Linked DNA regions of Elephas maximus indicus. The protein of the gene in region 2 interacts with the protein of the main gene of each other region in a pairwise test. Links are inferred from orthologs where the notes say so. Each region holds a gene or a part of one and is shown on either strand. Other genes may lie near its edges.

Region 1 (11,233 bases), on a different chromosome or scaffold from region 2:
CTCATTTATCTTCATTGTGCTCCAGTAAGTGAAAGAAGTGGCAAATATTATCTCCAATTTACCAGTCAAGAAACTAAATCTATAATAGCAAGATTTGCTCAATCATAAAACAAGTAGCATCCAGAGCAGCGTTCACTATTCCTCCTTCTCTAATTCTGGATTGCCCTGTTTCTCCACTATGCTCTAACTTTCAAAGATTGAGTCTCAAGGACAATGATTCTCAACCTGACTGCACGTTAGAATCGCCTGGGGAGCTTTTTTAAAAATTGCCAAAGCTCAGCCCACCCCCTAGCGATTCTGACTTAATTCATCAGGGGTGGAGCCCAGCATCAGTATATTTTAAAAGCTCCCCAGGTGATTCTAACGTTCAGCCAGGGTGGAGAAACACTCATCAAGGGCAGGGTTTCTCAACTTTGGCCCTACTGACATTTTGGGCCACATAATTCTTTGCTGTAGGCAGCTGTCCTGTGCACTGTAGCATCCCTCCCCTCTACCCACTACATGTCAATAGTACCCCTCCAGGTGTGACAAGCAGAAATGTCTCCAGACAATACTAAATGCCCCCACCCCCAGAGGAGTGGTAAAATTGCCCCTGGTTGAGAAAAACTGATCTATAGGACTGTGTAGGAGTCCCTGGGTGGTGCAAATGGTTAAAAATGCTCAGTTGCTGACCAAAAGGTTGCAAATTCAAATCCACTCAGAGACACCTTGGAAGAAAGGCCTGGCAATCTAATTCCAAAAAATCAGACATGGAAAACCCTAGAGAGCACAGTTCTACTCTGAAATACATGGGGTCACCATGAGTAGAAGTCAACTCTATGGCTTCATGGCTCCTGGTTTTTTGAGGAACGTGTACGCAAAATATGGTAGATTCACACTCTAGAAAATCAGTGGTATAGGCAGCCAATGAATATAGCTTAAAATAATTATTAAGTAGAGAAAAGGAAGAAGGGAAATGACATCTTACGAGAGTTTTTTACCAAATTAAAACATATATTCACAAAGTGACACAGTAATTTTCCACAGCACATACATACTCAAGAATATACGCCAAACACGTTGAGTGGGTGTCTGTGATTCGAAGGCACTGAAAGCGCAGAAAGGAAAGGAAGGGTACAGACTGTGAGCATCTCACGGGTTTTAAGAAGGAACTTATAAGGACAATGAGACAGTTAAGCCCACACATCTCTGCTAAGTGAGGGGTATTTTTGTGTGTGACATTAGGAAAAAAATAAATCAAGAAATTCCTGAGGCCAGCCCTCCACTTTCTGGTGGGGCTGTACATAAAGAAACCATCATCTAATTTCCTGGAGGAAACAAAGGGAACATGGTACACTATCTATTCGCAACCTAACATTTGCTCTGGGTGAAGGCACTCTAGACAGGAAACTGCCTCGGGGAGGGGGTAGGGGGGACTTGTTCCCATCTAACCTGCATCCCTTCCCGTGAAACTCAAGTTCCTTTCTCCTTATTTTTTCCTTATCAAAGGTGTTGAAGAGATCACATCATTGATGGTGATGACAATATTCAAGGAAAATTAATAGGATGGCTCCAGTTCCATCACCCCTAAAGCAAAAGCAGTCATGAAATGCCCTTAGTTTCATGATCTGTAAAATGGACATAATTATACACACCTCAAAGTTCTGGGTAAAAACTAAATGAGATAATGCCTAAGAAAATATTTTGAAATGGTAGAGCTTTAAACAATGGGAAATGGGCATCACCTTGGAAAAAATAAGTTCCATTGTATATAGTGCGGTAGCTGAAATAACCAATAAAGGTTTAGCCTAGAAAAAAATAAGGCAGTGATTTAAAAGACAAATCTTGTTATTTGTCAAAGTTTGTTTTGTATGATAGCATAAGCAAGAATTTGAAGCAAGGAGCTTTTCTGGAAAGTCTATTAGGGTACACAATGTTATTGCTTTTCCCTGATTAAAATGATCAGATTTCAACAGGTCACAAACCAACACTATTTAATTCTGGCATTTCTGTGTATTCCTAATAACTATATAAATATATAAAGCTTTTTCTAAACCTTTTTGGGATGTCATACTCCTTTTTGATGAAACAGAAGAAAAGAAATTTTTATTTAAATAAAATAAATTCTCCCCCGTTTGGATCCTTTCCAAATATTCCCTGATTTGTAAACAGTGAAATTTTGGTACCGAAAGTTAAAAAAAAAAAACTTTATAAAACATAATCTAAACATATTAAGTAACACTAATGCTTTGAAGGGTTTATCCCACATAGCTTATTAAGGCGTTAAAATAAGATATTAAACGATTTATCTGTAAGGGGTACCAATTGTGGAAACAATTTTTAAATTCTATATTATCTGTAGGAACCCTGGTGGCCCACTGGTTAAAGTGTTCAGCAGTTAACCAAAAGGTCAATGGGTTTCCACCAGCTGCTCTGTGGGAGAAAGATGTCCCACGCAGTCTGCTTCCGTGAAGATTACAGCCTTGGAAACCCTATGGGGCAGTTCTACTCTGTCCTATAGTGTGAAGATGAGTCGCAATCACCTCGAGGGCAGTGGGTTTGGTTTTGGTATATTATCTGTAAAATAGTTTGGCTTTGCCATCTTGCTTAATATTCAATGCTGAGAGTGAAAAGGTGGTATTCAATTTTGGCTTTCTGGGGGTTCTTAGGAAAATCTTAGGATTTCTCAGATTCCTTGGAAACCCGGATTCATCCTAGAGTGAGTAGATCTATGTAAGTTTCTCCTTAATAAACTATCAGGTGAGCACGTTCTTTACAGAAGTCACCTGCTGTAAAATAAGCAAAGTTTCTGCACCTCAGATCCACTGGTTATATGCTAAATCTCTAGTTATAGGGACTGAAATGCTCAAGTAAGGATCTGAGACTGCAAAAAAACACTGTACAGAAGGAAAAAATGATACCTCTCTTGGTCCTTTCCTAAGTATTGTCATTCAATTTGGCCCAGGCAGGTCGGAACATCAGGGAGTGTCTTTGGCAGCAAGCTGTATCCTTGTGCTTTATTTGTTTGTTCATGTGTTTGCTGCTTTCTAGACACTCTGGTCACCCACTCTGGTCACCCTCTCCCTTCCGCACTTCCCTAGAGCACTCCTGCCTCCTTTCACGGGTCATTTTCCCATCCAGGTTTCTAGACAGACCCCCAACGGCTCTAAGAACAATAAAAGACGAGGGAGTGGGTGGGAGGAGACCGCCAGCCACACAGCCTGGGGAACTGGAATCTGTGGGTAATGAATCTGTGACTGTAGTTGCAGCCTGGAAGTACCCAGTTTCCTGCACAAACATTTACTGAGCGCTGAGGATTTGTCTGATACTGCCCTGGCCTTAGTACGCTGCGAGGTAAAAGAAACGGTCCCTGTCCCTTAAGATCTCCAGGGTCCCAGGAATACAGACCGGGCAGGCCCCGAGTCGGGTCCCGTCGAGCTCACCCACCTCTGCCTGGTGATGAGGTTGATGTAGTGCCGCAGAGCCGAGTAGTATCTGGCCAAGTCCTCCGCCGGCGCGTCCTCGCCGGGGTTGTCCGGCTTGGAGGGGTACGCCTCGACCAGCGCGCCCAGGCACACGAGCAAGGACAGGGCAAGGGTCAGTCCGGACAGCCCCAGTCGCTTGCTACCCAGCATCTGCGGGCACAGAAGGTGCGGGGGAGGGGCTTCAGAACTGGGGGACACTATCCACAGCACCTCCTTCCTCTGCCTTCCCGCACCTCCCGCTGCTAGCAACTGCGACCCGCAATTCCTCCTCGACCCAGCCCCGCAGAGGGAACCCGAGCGTGGCGAGCACCACCCTGCCGGCTCAGAGAACAATCTGCCCTGGCCTGGCCCCTCTACTCCGTCCGAAAACTCCGCGCAACTTAGCCGCAAAGCGCAGGGCGACGAGTCGTGTGGCGAGAGAAGTAAGTTGGAGGGCCCCCCGTGCCCGTTAGACGCTTTTAAACAGAAAGAAAAGTTCTCCCTGCTAGGTGAAAAACTATCATTTTCCTACCCTCTACTACTCCAAATCTCTGTCGGAGAAAACTTTCTTTTCTCTAACTTTTGGTCTGCAGGAGGCGTCCTCGACAGTGGTGGCTGAGATCACCATGGGGAGGCAGGGTTTTTGTTTTTGTTTTTGTTTTGGTAAATGGTGGGGGTGGAAGGGAGAGAATTGCTTGCTGGCACCAAAGTCATTGCCTTCAAGTCGATTTCGACTCAAAGCGACCCTACAGGATAGAGTAGAACTGCCCCGTAGGGTTTCCAAGGAGCCCAGATGGTTTCCAACTGCCGACCTTTTTGGTTAGCAGCCGAGTTCTTAACCACTGGCTGGCACAGCAGGTCTCAATTCGGATCCCGAGGGTCCCGGGGGTGAAAGGGCTCCCCAGTGCCCGGGATTCCTCTGTTAGGGCGCTACCCAGCAAACCTCCCTCTCGCGAACCACCCTCTGGGCTTCCACGAGGCGACCCTGGAGCAGACCGCCGGCTGCTCTGGGTTGGGGGTCCTGTGTTCTCCGTTTTCTCCAAAAACTAACCCAGAGGGACCACCCAGCCTGAAGGGCCCGGAAGAAGGGAGGATGGACAATCACAGGGGACCCAGAAGAGGAGCAAGTGGAGTTTAGCCGCCGAGAGCGGCGCGGAGAGGGCAGAGCGCGGCGCGCAGAGCTGGGGACCCGGGCGCGACCCTCCCAGGACTCCAGGGATCGCGGAGGTTGAGAGCGCACCCCGGACAAGTTCGCCCGCGCTCTCTACCCTCGGGTGCGGGCCGAGCAGGTGGTGGTACTCACGGTGGCGGGCTGGCGGGCGGTCGGGCGTGGCCAGGCGGTGAGTGCTCTGCAGTCGGGCTCGCCTCTCCGCGGGATGAGAGCTGTCTGGTGGGGTGTCGAGAGCGGGTCGCAACAGGGCTTTTATGGCACTCCCTCGTCGCGGCAGGAGGGGCCTCGGGCAATCACGCTCCAGTGACTCCCACTCCGCCACTCCCCCCCCCCCCCCCGCCGCCGACTTCGAGTCGCGGAAGGAGGGGGCTGGAGCCGCAGCCGCACGAGCGTTGGCCTCCGGAGCCGCCCACGCCCCAACGCCCCGGCTCCAGGCCAGGTCCAGGAAAGGCGAGCTGGGCGAGCGCACGCGGTCCGAGGGCGCAGAGGACGCCAAAGCTAGCCCTGCGCTCCCGCGGCGCCTCAACTCCGCTTCCCTTTACGACCGGCCTAGTTTTGCCAAGATCTTTGGGCAAGACATAGCCCAGGTCACCTTTGTCGCCTGTCCTCGGGACCACCAGCAGGCGCCGGGGTAAGAGACACTTGAGTCCCCTACTTGGATGGAGCATCTTCGGGACCCGCGCCGGGCACAACTTTGTGCGCTTTCGGAGGGAAGCAACTTGGCGCACATTGTCCCTCATTTATCCGGCAGGTCGGAGGCGGCTGACGGACCTACCCAGCTAGAGAATCACAAACACCGCTCCCTAATGAGCTAAGAACGGACTTCCATGGCTTTGGCCCCCTTCCCCAGCTTGTTTTTCTGGGAGATTAGCCCTTCCCAAAGACTTGCCCAAATGCTGCGAGCCCGGCTAGGTGAGGACCTGAAAGACTGTGGCTGCTAAAACTCTTCAGGGGCGGAATACGGTAAATCCAATTCCACCATTTGCTGGAAAAGTGCCACCTTTCCAGTGTCTGAAGACTCCTTAAAGCGCGATCAAACAAAAAAGTTTGGTCCAAGGTGGCCGGTATAAAAGAACTGCAGTTTCTCCGTTTATCTCCTGGCCCTTTGTATACAGGTGGGGTAGTAATTAAGATCTACGGTTGCTAACCAAAAGGTCGGCAGTTCGAATCCCCCAGGCGCTCCTTGGGGGCAGTTCTACTCTGTACTATAGGGTCACTGTGAGTCGGAATCGACTCTACCTCAACGGGTTTGGTTTTAGTTTGGTTACGTGTGTTCAATTAACATTAGCTGAGAATTAATTAATTGTGTTCTGACTGAAATAAAAACAGGCTTTCAGAAAATGATCAACATTAATTTGCACATCGCGTTAAACCTGTTGAGTGTATATGAAAAATAGACCACATACTATTCTTAAAAGATCAGGGTTTTATGTAGTGGACTGCAATCTTAAAGTTCCCTGAATGAATAAGCCTAGAAGTCTGAATGTTACTGATTAAAATGGCACGTTAGGGAATAAAAACGTTAAGTTACAAGTTGCTTGAATGCCAAAATGACAAGTGATTCTGTTAAAATGTTTTGACAGCATTCAATTAAATATCAATTACTTAAGCAACCCTAATACACACACACAAATGCAATCAATAAGCAGGTTATGAATTCCGAAAACCCATATCCCTTCCACTTTGTTCCTCTTTCCATGTTACAGAAATAACATGCCCAGAGCACACATGTATCAGGGCTCTCAGCTTTGCTCAGAGAGTGCTCATGTGAAAACATCTTCGGTAAAAGAGCAAAACATTGTCTAATTTAGAGCCCTTTCTAGAAAAGAGGAAAGACACCATCTACTTTTCAATAAAATAATCTAATTTTTAGAGTGTATCACAAATTCCTATCATTTAAAACCTCATAGAAGGAGCCACTGAATTCGGGAGAAATTACTTCTAAGGATTTGTGCCAGCCTTCAGTGGGGAGCACTAGGGAAATTTGACGATTTAGCTGCAGATAATGTCACTGGCACCCAAGAATAAGAATCCATTCTCAGGGGGCAGCATTGAGAAAATAAAAAACAAGAAGTGATGTGCTCCACATGTATCTTACAAACATCTTTATTCCTTTCTCTCCAGTCCAAAACGCACCCCCTCACCACCATGGGCACTGAATATTCTCCTTCTCTCTTAGGACCTTGTTCCGTCAATTGCCTCCTTTCTTTCCTATACTTTTCACCTCCTTCAGCTTAAAAATTTGCTTGGGTTTACACTGTAAAAGAAACAAAGCAAAGCTACCACCCCAAACAAACAAAAACAACTGTCTCTCAACTCAGCATCTCCTTTAAGCTGCTGAACCATTTCTCTACTTTGTTTCAAAGTTAAGCTTGCATTTATGTATGTATGTTTGCATGTTATTTATTTATTCAGCCTTATTGAGGTACAGTTGGGATGCAATAAGCTACAAATGTTTAAATATTCAATTTTATAAATTCTGACATATATTACACATATACTGTGGTCACCAGGAATCAGAATTAACTCAACAGCAATGGGTTTGGGTTTTGCGTGTTCATAAAGCCATCATCATCATCAAGATAATGAACGTGTGCATCACCCCCAATAGTTTCCGCAGGTTCTTTTGTAATTCTTCCCTCCAACCTCTCTCCAACCCCTTCCTCCAGGCAACCTCTTATCTGCTTTCTGTCACTATAAATGCATTTTCATTTTCTAGAATTGTATATAAATATAGGTTTTTGTTTTTTATAATCCCACAGTACGTACTCTTCTGTCGGAGGCAGCTGCCTTCTTTCACTCAGCGTCGTTATTGTAGATCCACCCATGTTCGACTCGACGGCACTGGGCGCTTTGTTGCATGTATCGATGGTTTGTTCCTTTATTACTGGGTAGTGTTCCATTGTATGACTATACCTCAGTTTTGTTTTGTTTTTTAATCCATTTACCTGCTCACAGACTTTGGGTTGTTTCCAGTTTTCACTTTTACGAATAAAGCTGCTATAAACGTTCATTTACAAGTCTGTGCATGGGTATGTTCTTTCATTTCTTTTGGGAAAATACTTAGGGGTGGAATAGCTGGGACGTATTGTAGCTGGTATGTTGCCCCACAGTTCACAAATTGTCTGTTCTTTGTTTTGTTTCCTATGTATTTTATTTTTTATAGTTTCCATTCCTATCTTTAAGTTCACTAATCTTTTCTTCTGCAATGGCTAATTGGTGTTGATCTTATCCAGTGCATTTTATACCTCAGAGCATGTAGTTTTCATCTCTAGAAGTTCAATTTGGATTTTTTTTTAGTATCTTTCGTGTCTCTGCTTAGTATGCTTGATCTTTTCTCTAGCTTCTTGAATAAAAATTAATAGTAACTTGATTATTAATTCTTCTAATTATAGCTTATACTTTTCCTTCTTTGTATGTCTTGTATTTTTTTATACGAAGGCAGACATTGTAATTCTACCATGTTGTCTGTTGGATATTTTTGTATTCCTACAAATATTCTTAATTTTTGTCCTGGGATGCAGTTAAAAACCTGGGAACAATTTGACACATTTGGTTCTTCCTTTTAAGTTTTGTTAGATGGGATCAGAGCTGAATTTAGTCCAAGGTTAATAGTTCCCCATTATTGAGGCAAGACTTTTCTTACTTTAACTGTCGCCTCCTGAATGGTGCAGTTTTCCACTCTGACTGTTGGAACAGGCACTATTCCTGGCCTTGTGTGAACACTGGGCCCTGTTTCCTTTAATTCTTTTGTTCTTTCCCTGTCTTGGGTAGTTTTCGACCATGTATGATCTGATCTGTAATCAACTGATTACTAGAGAGGAACCCTCTGCAGATCTCCAGAGTTCTCTCTCTCTGCAGCTCTCTCCAATCCTGTATTCTACCTGAGAGCTCTAGCTGCCCTGGCTTCCCCAGACTCCTAGCTCCATCTCTTCAACTGAGCTGCCATTCTTTGTGTTGATTCCTCCCCTTGTGCACTACAGCCTGGAAAATTTCTTCAGGCAGTAAGCTGGGACCATTACAGGACTCCCCTCATTTGTTCCCCTCCTTTAGGAGATAGCTGTCCCATGTTGCCTGATGTCCAGTGCCTTGAGTGCCATTGTTTAGCATATATTTTCCAGTTTTTTTAGTTGTTTCAGATGAGAGGGTAAATTCAGTTCCTGTTTCTTCCTTTTGACCAGAACTACAAGTCTCAGAGCAAAGCTTTTTTTAAAAAAAATGTTTCCACTCCTTGCCTCTGCTTCTTCAGCTTTGGTTTGGTCATAAGACACTGAAATATAGGTTCTGTCTGTTCAAGGTACTGAACCTGTATCAGTAAGATCATGCTGATTGCAACCCCATAAACCTTCACTACTTATTTGACTTCTCTTGACCATTACCTTCACTGGTCTCCTCTAGCTTACCACCTTTCCCTCTGACCTTGCCCCAGTTTCTTTTGCTGACTAGTCCTTCTGTACCCCAAGTCTCAGCCTCAACTTTGATCTTTTTCCATTTTACATACACTGAGTGATCAAGCTCATATACTCCTATGGCTCATGAGTCTGAAATCTCTACCACTAGCTCAGCACTAGCTCAGGCATTGTAGATTATATCTAAATTATCCAAAGTGGAGCTTCCATTAACATCAATTCCTAATTCTATAGCATTGTAGGAGAAAGACATTTACCTGTGTTTTGTTTTTTTTTTTGACTATGCAAAGGCATTCAACTGTGGGGATCATAACAAATTACGGATAACATTGAGAAGAATGGGAATTCCAGCACACTTTATTGTGCCCCTGAAGAACCTGTATATAGACCAAGAGGCAGTTGTGCAAACAGAATAAGGGGATACCACATGGTTTAAAGTCAGAAAAGGTGTGCGTCTGGGTTATAACCTTTCAGCATAGTTGTTCAATCTGAATGCTAAGCAAATAATCCAAGAAGCTGGACTATATGAAGAAGAACACAGTGTCAGGATTGGAGGAAGACTAATTAACAACCTGTGATATGCAAATGACACAACCTTACTTGTTGAAAATGAAGAGGACTTGAAGCACTTGATGAAGATCAAAGACCACAGCCTTCAGTATGGATTATACCTCAACGTAAAGAAAACAAAACTCACAACTGGACAAATAAGGAACATCATGATAAATGCAAAAAACATTGAAGTTGTCAAGGATTAAATTTTACTTGAATCCACATCAGTGCCCATGGAAGCAGCAGTCAAGAAATCAAAGGATGTATTGAATTGGGCAAATCAAAAGACCTCTTTAAAGTGTTAAAAACAAAGATGTCACTTTGAGGACTAAGGTATTCCTGACCCAAGTCATGGTATTTCCAACCACCTCATATGCATGGGAAAGCTGGACAATGAATAAGGAAGACCGAAGAAGAAATGATCTCTTCGAATTATGATGTTGGTGAAGAAAATTGAATATACCATGGATTGCTAGAAGAAGGAACAAATCTGTCTTGGAAGAAGTACAGCCAGAATGCTCCTTAGAAGCAAGGATGGTGAGACTTCATCTCACATACTTTGAGCAGGTTATCAGGAGGGACCAGTCCCTGGAGAAGACATAATGCTTGGTAAAGTAGAGGATCAACAAAAAAGAGGAAGACCCTCAGCGAGTGACACAGTGGCTGCAACAATGGGCTCTAAGATAGCAATGACTGTGAGGATGGCACAGGACCAGGCAGTGTTTCCTTCTGTTCCACATAGGGTCACTAGGAGTAGGAACCGACTCGATGGCACCTGTTATGGATTGAATTGTGTCTGCCAAAAATGTGTGTCAACTTGGCTAGGCCATGATTCCTCATACTGTGTGATTGTACACAATTTTGTTAGCTGATGTGATTTTCTCACATGTTGTAAATCCTACCTCTATGAGGTTAATGAGACAGGATTAGAGGCAGTTACATTAATGAGGCAGGGCTCAGTCTATAAGATTAGGTTGTATCTTGAGTCCATCTCTTCTGAGATATAAACGAGAGAAGCAAGCAGAAAGACAGGAGGACCTCATACCACCAAGAAAGAAGCACCAGAAGCAGAGCACATGCTTTGGACCCAGGGTCCCTGCACCTGAGAAGTTCCTAGACCAGGGGAGGATTGATGACAAGGACCTTCCCCCAGAGCCCACAGAGAAAGAAACCTTTTCCCAGGAGCTGGCACCCTGAATTTGGACTTATAGCCTACTAGACTGTGAGAATAAATTTCTCTTTCTTAAAGCCACCCATTTGTGGTATTTCAGTTATAGCACTAGATATCTAAGACAGCACCTAAGATCAACACATCATATGAAGTCCAAAATATTTTCAAAATCTTCAAGTTGAACTACAAGGCCCCATGTATTTTGTCCCTATCTACCTCCCAGCCTTATCTCACAAATTTATCCTTCACTCCCAGTATTCCCGTCCATTGGCCTTCTTTCTGTTTCTTAAATATATCAATCACCTGTCCCGGTTGGGTCTTCACCATGCTATATGCTCTCCCTGAAACATTCTCCCAACTCTGTCTGGTCAACACCTAAACATCCTTCTTTCTTCACCCAAAATGTCACTTCTCCACGGAGCGCTTTCTTGGCCCTCCGGGCTGAATGAGGTTCACTTTCACATGTTCTCATAGCATTCTGAACTTC
Region 2 (11,832 bases):
TGGTATAAAAATCAGAACAGGCACATACAAGGTCAAGAGAGACACCTGTTAGGACCCATCTACAAGCAAAGGAATGGCAAGGATTGCAGTAGCCACTGGAAACTAGAGGAGAGGCGCCCAGAAGTAACCAACATGGACAACATCCTGCTTTAGACTTTGTTGTTGTTGAGTGCTGCTGAATCATTTTTCACTCGTACTGATCTCATGTGACAGAGCAGAGCTGCCCCCAGTAGAACTGCCCCCTAGGGTTTACTAGGCTGTCATCTTTACAGAGGAGCCCTGGTGGAGCAGTGGTTAAGTGCTTGGCTACTAACTGAAAGGTCGGCGGTTCAAACCCACCAGCCTGCTCCGCAGGAGAAAGATGTGACAGTTTATTTCCATAAAGATTAGAGCTTTGGAAACCCCATGGGGCACTTCGACTCTGTCCTAGAGTCACCATGAGTCAGAATCGACTTGATAGCATCTGGTTTGGTTTGGTTTTGGGTTAATCTTTACAGGAGCAGGTTACCAGGTCTTTTCCCCGGAGAGACCCTGGGTGAGCTTGAACCACTAAGCTTTATGGTAGCAGCTGAGCAGTTAACCTTTGTGCCACCAGGACCTCCCATCTCTGAGACAATAAATGTCTTCCTGAAAGGCCTTGCTACCCCCACACCTCCCCACCCTGCCGTGGTGTTTTTCTGTCACAGCAGCTCTAGGTAACTATGATGCTGCGCTTGGCCTACCCGCACGGTGGAAGTCGTCCTTGCTGTAGGTGAAGTCCTTCAGAAAGGTGATGCACTCCGTCTCATGGTTGTAGCGCCTGGCCGTCTCCAGCAGCATGATCTGAGGGTGGTGGGGACCAGGGGGAGGCTGGGGGCACGAGGGGGCCCTGTGTAACCCTTTAGGCCTCCCCTTTCGGCCCAAGTCAGGGGCTGGTCTCATCAGGATCACTGCTCAACCCTGACCCCTGCTCTCAGCTACATCACCGCTGGTCCACACGTGGAGCTCTCCAGGCTCCTTCCCTCCCCCAGGCTTCAGCACGCACTGCATCCTCCACGTAGCTCATGCTTTTCCCAGATCTGTACCAGGAAGGCAGCAGAAGTGTTCGTCTATCTTTGTCTGTCTGGTTCATTGCTCTATCCCCAACACCTAGGACAGAGCCTGGCACACAGTAGGCTATTGTTGTTCTTAGGTGCCCTGGAGTTGATTCCGACTTGTAACAACCCCATGTGACACAGTAAAACCGCCCCATAGGGTTTTCTAGGCTGTAATCTTTTACGGAAGCAGATCGCCAGGTCTTTCTCTTGAAGAGCCACTGGGTGAGTTCCAAAGCCAACCTTTTGGTTAGCAGCCAAGCACTTAACTGTTGTGCCACCAAGGCTCCTATACAGCAGACAATCAATACTTATTTGTTATCCTGGAGAAAGCCTTCTTGGCACACTCTTCCTAAAGCAGGCCCCTCTAGCCCAGTCCTCAAACTCAACCCCTTGTTCCTTTCTGTCCTGGGATCAGCAAAACTCTGATGGTCCTGTGAATGCATCTGACATCCACTACCTTCCTCTGTAACGAGTCCTTGGGTGGCATTAACAGTTAAGCACTCGACTACTAACTAAAAGGTTGGTGATTTGAACCCACCCAGAGGCGCCTCGAAGACAGGCCTCACAATCTGCTTCCAAAAGGTCACAGCCTTGAAAACCCTATGAAGCAGTTCTACTCTGCACACGTGGAGTCACGAGTCAGAACCGACTCAATGGCAGCTAAGAACAAGAACAACATCTTCCTCCATGGAATGTCTCCTCCAAGAGAGCAGGGACTGGTAAGTCCTGCTTGCCGCTACCCAGCATCTACCCTAGGGCTCCTCTCCAGGGTCCCTCGGAGGCAGGAGGGCAGCGCCTGCCTGGGGATGGGCGGGCCAGCCATTACCTCGATGGTGGATGCCTTGAGGAGAGCGATCTGGTCTTCTCGGCCCAGCTGTAGGAAGCCGGGTACCTGCTTGGCGAAGTCCACAATCTCCTGCACGGAGATGATGGCCAGCTCTGTGAAGTGGGCGAAGCGCTGCTGACGGGCATCACGGGACTGAGGGTCTGCACCCAGAGGCCAGGGCTGAGGACACAGGTGGCCAGAGTCACACAAGACTCTTCCCTGGAACCAGGGCCACGGGGGCACCTGGAGGCCAAGCCTCATCCTCTAGAGCTCCTGCCCTCCCTTGCTTTAGGCCACAGCCCTGCCGGCTCGACCCTGGTGTGCCTGGCCCTCCTCGAGGCTGCACGAGGGCCCATACCGTGACTTTGGGCTGGTCTGAGAAGGAGCGCTTGTTGCACTGCAGCTGGGCCGCCACCAACTGCTGGATCATAAGTTCCTGAGCCGCCGTTAGTTGGACGCCCTCTCCTTCCCCAGAGCCCTGGCTGCCCCCTTCAGGCTCCCCAGGGGAGGCCCCAGGCCCAGAGGATAAGCTGCTGCCACCTCCTGACCCCACGGGTGACTGCTGCTGCTGTTGCTTCTGTATCTTCTTCTTCCGAATCTGTTCTTCGGAGAGGACACCTGTGTGGGCACACGGACCTCAGCAGAGGCTCTAAGGAGAGTGGGCGCCGGGCTGGCACAGCCCCGCATCCCACCGCCCACACTTACACTGCTCCCTCATCCCCGCCTCTTTGCACTTCCGTAGTCGGCACTGCTGGCACTTGCGCCGCATAAAGGCGTCCATCTGACACGTTCCACCGCCCCGGCAGGCATAGCGCCCAGCCCCACCACGGACCACACTGCGCCGGAAGAAGCCCTTGCAGCCCTCGCAGCTGAGTACGTTGTAGTGGAAGCCAGAGGCCTTGTCCCCGCACACGCGGCACAGCTCATGGCCCAGCATCTTGGGAGCTGGGCCCTTCTTCCGCTTGCGCTCTGGCTCCTCCATTGGGTCTGGGATGACTAGGGTGGTCAGATGAAGATCATGAGAGAAGGAGCCACAGGGAGACAGGCCTAAGAGAGGTCCCAGGGTGGAAGCCCGAGCAGGGAGATGTGAACACCCAAGGAGATGGAGACCAGAGAGAAAGATGTGTCAGTGCACCCCAAAGAATGAATCAAAGCAAGAGATGACAAGGGGGAACGAGAGAGGCAAAAAATCAACAAGAGGCAGGGGCTTGCCATCTCCCCATCCTGGTTCTAATCTTTCTACCTTCCCAGATCCCACCTTGAGCCCCAACACCTACTTCCACATCCCATCCTGGGGCCCCATCTCACCCACGCTGCAGGCAGAGCCTGCCCCATCTGTGCCTGGGACATCGGGGTCTGGACCCCCAGGCCAAGGCTCAGGGCCCTCCTCCTTTATAGCAGGTGAAGAAGAGGGGGCTCCAGGCTGAGGGGGGCCATTTCCTGGGAGAGAGGCAACAGGGAGGCACAGTGAGTGCCTCCTTCCTGACCGATGTGTGTGTGTTGCGGGGGGGTGGGCTGGGTGTGGGTGCGGGACACTCACCAGGCAGGGGGCTGTCCAGGGAACTGGTGGTGGGGGTGGACATGGTGGGGTCACGGAGCAGCCTGCAATACAGGGGGATTATGAGCCTCAAAAGGAGTCCTGGTGGCGCAGTAGTTATGTACTTAGCTACTAACTGAAAGGTTGCTCGTTTGAACCCACCAGCTGCTCTGCGGGAGAAAGATGTGGCAGTCTGCTTTGGAACTCTATGGGTAAGGTCTACTCTCCTACAGGGCCACTATGAGTCACAATCGACTCGATGGCAACACATTTTAAGAGACTTGAGGAGTCAGGATGGGTCTCCTCTGAGCTAGTTACATGTGCTAATGAGGTCCCCTCTCCTCCTTCCATCTCTCCCAGACTCCTCCCCAACTCCATAAAGACGCCACCAGGAGCTCCTACCTTCAAACCCTCCCATCCTATTCTAAAAGGCTCTGCCCTTTTTCTGCTCCAGGCTCCTCCCCTCCCCATGTCCCCAGGTCTGGCCCCTTCTGCTCCAAGGCACACCCTACTAAGGTTTTTCCCTCCTACCTGCTACTTCCAGGTCCCACCCTCCTCCTTCAATCCTGCTAAGCATTCACTCCTCCCTCCCATCAAATTCCACCCCACCTGTTCTTATGCGGGTGGCCTGATGGTTAAGACCTACAGCTGCTAACCAAAAGGTCGGCAGTTCGAATCCACCAGGCACTCCTTGGAAACTCTATGGGGCCATTCTACTCTTGGCCTACACAGTCGCTGTGGTTCACAATAGACTCTTAGGCAACAGGTGGGGTCTTTTTGGTTTTACTTATTCAGGAACCCTGGTGGTGCAGAGGTTAAGAGCTACAGCTGCTAACCCAAAGTTCAGCAGTTTGACTCCACCAGCCCCTACCAGATATCCCATGGGGAAGTTCTACTCTGTCCTACAGGGTCACTATAAGGCAGAATCCACCACACGACTACTGGCTTGGGTACTCAGACTCCACGTCACTTCTTCTGAGCAAACTTTAGTTCTGTCCGCATCTTTTCCTTTCAGATCCTCACCCCCTTCTTTCCAAGTTCGGTTCTCATCTCCACCGCTCACGGCCGCCCCCAACATCGTGCTCCAAGCCCCGCCCCATCCGTACCCCCTCTCTACAAGCCCCGCCCCCTCCCCTCCCGTCAGGCTTTTCCCCCTCGCCCCATCATGCTCCGCCCCCACACCTCGCTCCAGGTCCCGCCCCTCTCCAAACACCAGCGGGGGGCGGGGCTCATGGCTGCGCGTGGGGGTCTTCGGGGCGGCCTCTCGCGGGGTCTCCTGGTTCCGTTACCCTGGAAACAGCCGGGGGGCGGTACGAGTTATGAAGGGGCGGGGGAAGAACGAAAGAAGGGGGCTGAATGGAGCGGCGCGGGAAGGGCTGAGATGCCATAGCCCCGGACTCCTCCCACGCCCCCCTCGGGTGCACCTGACTCTGTCCGCTTTCTCTGCTCCGCTTCCTCCTTCTCTGTATCCCCTTGAACGCCGCCACTGCTCCGGTCCCCTCAAAAGTAACTTCGCCACTTCTTCCGGCAACCCCGTCGTGCGTCACCTCCGGAAAAGGGCGGGGAGTGACAGATGACGGAATTCCGGTGCGCGTTACAACAGCTGAATCGGCTGCCCCGCACGAAAGTGGCACACCCACCGGAAGTTTGCCCCCTCCGGGTTGCTCCACTAGGGTGTGGCTGAGGAGTTCCGCGCCAAAGCAATCAAATGTCCTTGAGGGGGCGTTGCCAGTCCCCAACCTTCCCGTCCCGAGCTGTGTGGCCTTAGCGCTTCTGTGGCCTCTCTGGGCCCGCAGCCAAAGATTCGTTATTGTTAGGTGCCCTGGAGTTTAATCCGACTCATAGAGACTGTACGCATAACAGAACTAAACAACGTCCGGTCCTGTGCCATCCTCACAAGCGTTTCTATGCTTAAGCCCATCATTGCAGCCAATGTGTTAATCCGTCTTGTGGTGGTCTTCCTGTTTTTCACTGAGCCTCTACTTTTCCAAGCATGATGTCCTTCTCCACGGACTGGTCTCTCCTAATAACATGTCTGAAGTACATGACACAAGTCTCATCATCCTCTTTACTAATCAGCATTCTGTCTGTCCTAGATTCATACTTCGAGCATTCCATAATCCGATTGTTAGTGGATGTTACAGCTGTTTCTTCTCATTTTGAGTAGTGCCACGACAGCAAATGAGGTTCCGAAAGCTTTACCCCATCCACATCACTAAGGTCAACTCTATTTGAGGAGGCAGCTCTTCCCCAGTCGCCTTTTGAGTGCCTTCCACCATGAGGGGCTTATCATCCTGCACTATATCCGATAATGTTCTGAGACAGGTCTGGGGTCCTGAGGTAAAATTAACCCTCTTGCGAGCAGAAGCTGTAAAAATTCGAAAGCAAACAACATATGGCGTAGGCCGGACACAAGAGAACCAGTATCTTAACCTGAGGCTAAATTTTGAACAATAAGCAACCAGATTTCCCTTAATGCTTCCTCTTAGGATTGTTTTTTAGGCAAACCAACTAAAACTAGAATCCTGCATAGACACAGAAACGATTTGATTGCCCCATGTCATAATTAGTCCTGCCTAGGAACCAAGGAAACCCTGGCGCTTAGTCGTTAAGTGCTACGGCTGCTAACCAAAGGGTGGACAGTTCAAATCCGCCAGGCGCTCCTTGGAAACTCTTTAGGGCAGCTCTACTCTGTCCTATAGGGTCGCTATGAGTTAGAATTGACTCGACGGCACTGGGTTTGGTCTTTTGGTTTGAGGAACCAAGAAACTCATGTCAAGGAACTAAAAACACTGGACATATGTCACCAGATAAAAGCCAGGACCAATTTAGAAGCAAAAGGTCTGAGACCCACTTCTGTGCTAAGTCTTAGCTCAGCTGTTCTTTTAAATATGCTGCTACCCTTCCCCCCCCCCGAATGAGCTCTTTCTATATAATGTTGTCGTTAGGTGCCTTCCAGTCAATTCCGACTCACAGCAACCCTATGCATAATAGAACAAAACAATTCCCAACCCTGTACAAGCCTCACAGTCATTGCTATGCTTGAACACATTGTTGCAACCACTATGTCAGTCCATCTCGTTGAGGGTCTTCCTCTTTTTTGCTGACCCTCTATTTTACCAAGCACGATGCCTTTTCCAGGGACTGATACCTCCTGATAATATGTCCAAAGTACGTGAGACGTAGTCCGGCCAACCTTTCTTCTAAGGAACATTTTGGTTGTACTTCCAAGACAGGCAAATTGTGGAATGACATCATACATGGAGAAAGCAAGAGGTCATTAAAAAAGACAGGAGAGAAAGAAAAGACCTAAATGGATGTCAGAAGAGACTCAGAAACTTACTTTTGAACATCGAGTAGCTAAAGCAAAAGGAAAAAATGATGAAGTAAAAGAGCTGAACAGAATATTTGGAAGGGCAGTCCGAGAAGACAAAGTATTGTGAGGATGTGTACGAAAACCTGGAGATAGAAAACCAAAAGGGAACAACATACTCAGCATTTCTCAGACTGAAAGAACTGAAGAAAACTTCAAGCCTTGAGTTGCAATACTAAAGGATTCTACGGGGAAAATATTAAACAGCAGAAATCATCAAAAGAAGATGGAAGGAATACACAGAGTCACTATACCAAAAAAAAACTTGGTTGACATTCACCCACGTTAAAAGGTAACATATGATCAGGAACCAATGCTACTGAAGGAAGAAGTCCAAGCTGCTCTGAAGGCATTGGCGAAAAACAAGGCTCTGGGAATTGACAGAATACCAGTTGAGATGTTTCAACAAATGGATGCAGCACTGTAAGTACTCACTCATCCATGCCAAGAAATTTGGAAGACAGCTACCTGGCCAGCTGGACTGGAAAAGATCCATATTTATGCCTATTCCCAAGAAAGGTGATCCAGCCAAATGTGGAAATTATCAAACAGTATCATTAATATCACATGCCAGCAAAATTTTGCTGATTCAAAAGCAGGTGCAGCAGTGTATCAACAGGGAAGGGCCAGAAATTCAAGCCAGACTTGGAAGAAGACGTGGAACCAGGGATATCATTGCTGATGTCAGATGGATCCTGGCTGAAAGCAGACAACACCAGAGGGATGTTTTCTTGTTGTTGCTAGGTGCCGTTGAGTCGGTTCCGACTCATAGAGACCCTATGCACAACAGAAAGAAACACTGCCCGGTCCTGCGCCATCCTTACAATCGTTGTCATGCTTGAGCTCATTGTTGCAGCCACTGTGTCAATCCACCTTGTGAGGGTCTTCCTCTTTTCTGCTGGCCCTCTACTCTGCCAAGCATGATGTCCTTCTCCAGGGACTCATCCCTCCTGGCAACATGTCCAAAGTATGTAAGATGCAGTCTCGCCATCCGTGCCTCTAAGGAGCATTCTGGCCACACTTCTTCCAGGACAGATTTGTTCGTTCTTTTGGCAGTCCATGGTATATTCAATATTCTTCGCCAACACCACAGTTCAAAGGCGTCAGCTCTTCTTTGGTCTTCCTTATTCATTGTCCAGCTTTCACACGCATATGATGCGATTGAAAATACCATGGCTTGGGTCAGGCGCACCTTAGTCCTCGGGGTGACATCTTTGCTCTTCAACACTTTGAAGAGGTCCTTTGCAGCAGATTTGCCGAATGCAATGCGTCTTTTGATTTCTTGACTGCTGCTTCGGTGACTGTTGATTGCGGATCCAAGTAAAATGAAATCCTTGACAACTTCAATCTTTTCTCCGTTTATCATGATGTTGCTCATTGGTCCAGTTGTGAGGATTTTTGTTTTCTTTATGTTGAGGTGTAATCCATACTGAAGGCTGTGGTCTTTGATCTTCATTACTAAGTGCTTCGAGTCCTCTTCACTTTTGGCAAGCAAGGTTGTATCATCTGCATAACGCAGGTTGTTAATGAGTCTTCCTCCAATCCTGATGCCCCGTTCTTCTTCATATTGTCCAGCTTCTCGTATTATTTGTTCAGCATACAGATTAAATAGGTATGGTGGAAGAATACAACCCTGACGCACACCTTTCCTGACTTTAAACCAATCAGTATCCCCTTGTTCTGTCCGAACAACTGCCTCTTGATCCTTGTAAAGGTTCCTCATGAGCACAATTAATAGTTCTGGAATTCCCATTCTTCGCAGTGTTATCCATAGTTTGTTATGATCCACAGTCAAATGCCTTTGCATAGTCAATAAAACACAGGTAAACTTCCTTCTGGTATTCTCTGCTCTCCGCCAGGATCCATCTGACATCAGCAATGATATCCCTGGTTTCACATCCTGTTCTGAAACCAGCCTGAATTTCTGGCAGTTCCCTGTCGATATACTGCTGCAGCCGTTTTTGAATGATCTTCAGCAAAATTTTGCTTGCGTGTGATATTAACAATATTGTTCTATAATTTCCACATTCGGTTGGATCACCTTTCTTGGGAATAGGCATAAATATAGATCTCTTCCAGTCAGTTGGCCAGGAAGCTGTCTTCCATACTTCTTGGCATAGATGAGTGAGCACCTCTAGCGCTGCATCTGTTTGTTGAAACACCTCAACTGGTATTCTGTCAATTCCCAGAACCTTGTTTTTCGCCAATGCCTTCAGAGCAGCTTGGACTTCTTCCTTCAGTACCATCGGTTCCTGATCATATGCCACCTCTTGAAATGTTTGAATATCGACTGGTTCTTTTTGGTATAATGACTCTGTGTATTCCTTCCATCTTCTTTTGATGCTTCCTGCATCATTTAATATTTTCCCCATGGAATCCTTCACTATTGCAACTCAAGGCTTGAATTTTTTCTTCAGTTCTTTCAGCTTGAGAAACACTGAGCGTGTTCTTCCCTTTTGGTTTTCCATCTCCAGCTCTTTGCACATGTCATTATAATACTTTATTTTGTCTTCTCAAGAGGCCATTTGTAATCTTCTGTTCAGTTCTTTTACTTCATCAATTCTTCCTTTTGCTTTAGCTGCTCGACGCTCAAGAGGAAGTTTCAGAGTCTCCTCTGACATCCATCTTGGTCTTTTCTTTCTTTCCTGTCTTTTCAGTGACCTCTTGCTTTCTTCATAGATGATGTCCTTGATGTCATTCCACAACTCGTCTGGTCTCTGGTCACTAGTGTTCAATGCGTCAAATCTACTCTTCAGATGGTCTCTAAATTCAGGTGGGATATACTCAAGGTCATATTTTGGCTCTCATGGACTTGGTCTGATTTTCATCAGTTTCAGCTTGAACTTGCATATGAGCAATTGATGGTCTCTTCCACAGTCAGCCCCTGGCCTTGTTCTGACTGATGATATTGAGCTTTTCCATCGTCTCTCTCCATAGATGTAGTCAATTTGATTTCTGTGTGTTCCATCTGGTGAGGTCCATGCGTATAAAAATAGTCACTGTTTATGCTGGTGAAAGAAGGTATTTGCAATGAAGAAGTCGTTGGTCTTGCAAAATTCTATCATTCCATCTCCAGCATTGTTTCTATTACCAAGGCCATATTGTCCAAATACTGATCCTTCTTCTTTGTTTCCAACTTTTGCATTCCAATCACCAGTAATTATCAATGCATCTTGATTGCATGTTCGATCAATTTCAGACTGTAGCAGCTGATAAAAATCTTCTATTTCTTCGTCTTTGGCCCTAGTGGTTGGTGTGTAAATTTGAATAGTCGTATTAACTGGTCTTCCTTGTAGGCGTATGGATATTATCCTATCACTGACAGCGTTGTACTTCAGGATAGATCTTGAAATGTTCTTTTTGACGATGAATGCAACATCATTCCTCTTCAAGTTGTCATTCGCAGCATAGTAGACTATATGATTGTCTGACTCAAAATGGCCAATACCAGTCCATTTCAGCTCACTAATGCCTAGGATATCGATGTTTATGCGTTCCATTTCATTTTTGGTGATTTCCAATTTTCCTAGATTCATATTTCATGCATTCCAGGTTCTGATTATTAATGGAAGTTTGCAGCTCTTTCTTCTCATTTTGAATTGCGCCACATCAGCATATGAAGGTCCCGGAAGCTTTACTCTATCCACTCATTAAGGTTGACTCTACTTTGAGGAGGCAGCTCTTCCCCAGTCATCTTTTGAGTGCCTTCCAACCTGGCGGGCTCATCTTCCAGGACTATATTAGACAATGTTCCACTGCTATTCGTAAGGTTTTCACTGGCTCATACTTTTCAGAAGTAGACTGCCGGGTCCTTCTTCCTAGTCTGTCTTAGTCTGGAAGCTCAGCTGAAACCTGTCCTCCATGGGTGACCCTGCTGGTATCTGAATACCGGTTGCATAGCTTCCAGCATCACAGCAACACACAAGCCCCCACAGTACGACAAACTGACAGACACGTGGGGGAGAGATGTTTACCTGTGTTTTATTGACAATGCAAAAGGCATTTGGCTGTGTAGCTCATAACAAATTATCAAAAACACTGCAGAGAACGGGAATTCTGGAACACTTAATTGTCGTTGTGAGGGATCTGTACTTGGATCAAGAGTCAGCCGTTTGAAAAGAACAAGGGGATACTACATGGTTTAAAGTCAGGAAAGGTGTGGGATAGGGTTGTATCCTTTCACCATATAGGTAGTAATCAGATAATATATATACATATACGAGAATATATGATGCGTACGTTTTTGTAACTTGTGCTGTCCACTAAACAGTACAATACAAAGATCCTTTTATGCTCAGCAAATGCACTACCCATTCCTGGCCTTTGAGGCCGTGGAATTTTCCACCCAAGCATGTTAGCAGTAAAGCAAATAGTTAATGTGGGTGTCCTGGTCTGGCAGAACTGGGTGTCTGACACTTCCTCGTTGTGTAATGTTGAGGCAAATTACTCAACGTCCCTGTGCCTCGGTTCTCATCTGTAAACAAGGGACAAAAGAAAGAATTGACTTCAGTGCATTGTTGTTATGATTAAATGAGGTAAACAGCATGAACTGGGCCAGGCTCAAATAAGGAACTTGATACTTTGGAACTGTGTTTATTTTTATAGACATCAAAATTATTTCTAACTTCTTACTATTATTGTTTTTACTGTTGAATGCCATTGAGTCGATTTTGACTCATAGCATATGGCACAGTAGAACTTCCTCTGGTTTCCTAGGCTGTACAGGAGTAGATCACCAAGTCTTTCTCCCTTGGAGCTGCCTGGTGGGGTCAAACTGCCAGCCTTCCAGTTAGCAGCGGAGTACTTAACTTTGCACACCAGGGCTCTTTTTTTCACATAAACCAAAGCACACTGCCGTTGAGTTGATTCCAACTCATATTAGAACCAGGCAAGCTAAAGATGAATTACCACATTTGGGAGTAAGTTATATCACTTTCTTGGCCTTCCGTAAAGTAAGAATAAAAAACCAAAAAACAAAAACCAAACCTGTTGCCATAGAATTGATTCCAACTCATAGCAA

Evidence for each region.
Region 1: the proteins of NR1H2 (region 2) and NPY interact in a two-hybrid assay, tested with the Homo sapiens proteins (3 studies listed by BioGRID and IntAct). The link is inferred for Elephas maximus indicus from reciprocal best matches to the Homo sapiens genes NR1H2 and NPY.

Annotation. Positions count from the first base shown.
Region 1 is NC_064826.1:85,177,197-85,188,429, reverse strand, and holds the start of NPY (pro-neuropeptide Y), read right to left. Parts: upstream 4,870-11,233; 5' UTR 4,747-4,869; intron 3,615-4,746; coding exon 3,427-3,614; intron 1-3,426. UniProt on the Homo sapiens protein: NPY is implicated in the control of feeding and in secretion of gonadotrophin-release hormone.
Region 2 is NC_064829.1:98,026,395-98,038,226, forward strand, and holds the start of NR1H2 (oxysterols receptor LXR-beta), read right to left. Parts: upstream 4,995-11,832; 5' UTR 4,864-4,994; intron 4,730-4,863; 5' UTR 4,622-4,729; intron 3,505-4,621; 5' UTR 3,486-3,504; coding exon 3,443-3,485; intron 3,343-3,442; coding exon 3,211-3,342; intron 2,950-3,210; coding exon 2,608-2,949; intron 2,521-2,607; coding exon 2,261-2,520; intron 2,083-2,260; coding exon 1,903-2,082; intron 850-1,902; coding exon 723-849; intron 1-722. UniProt on the Homo sapiens protein: Nuclear receptor that exhibits a ligand-dependent transcriptional activation activity. Binds preferentially to double-stranded oligonucleotide direct repeats having the consensus half-site sequence 5'-AGGTCA-3' and 4-nt spacing (DR-4).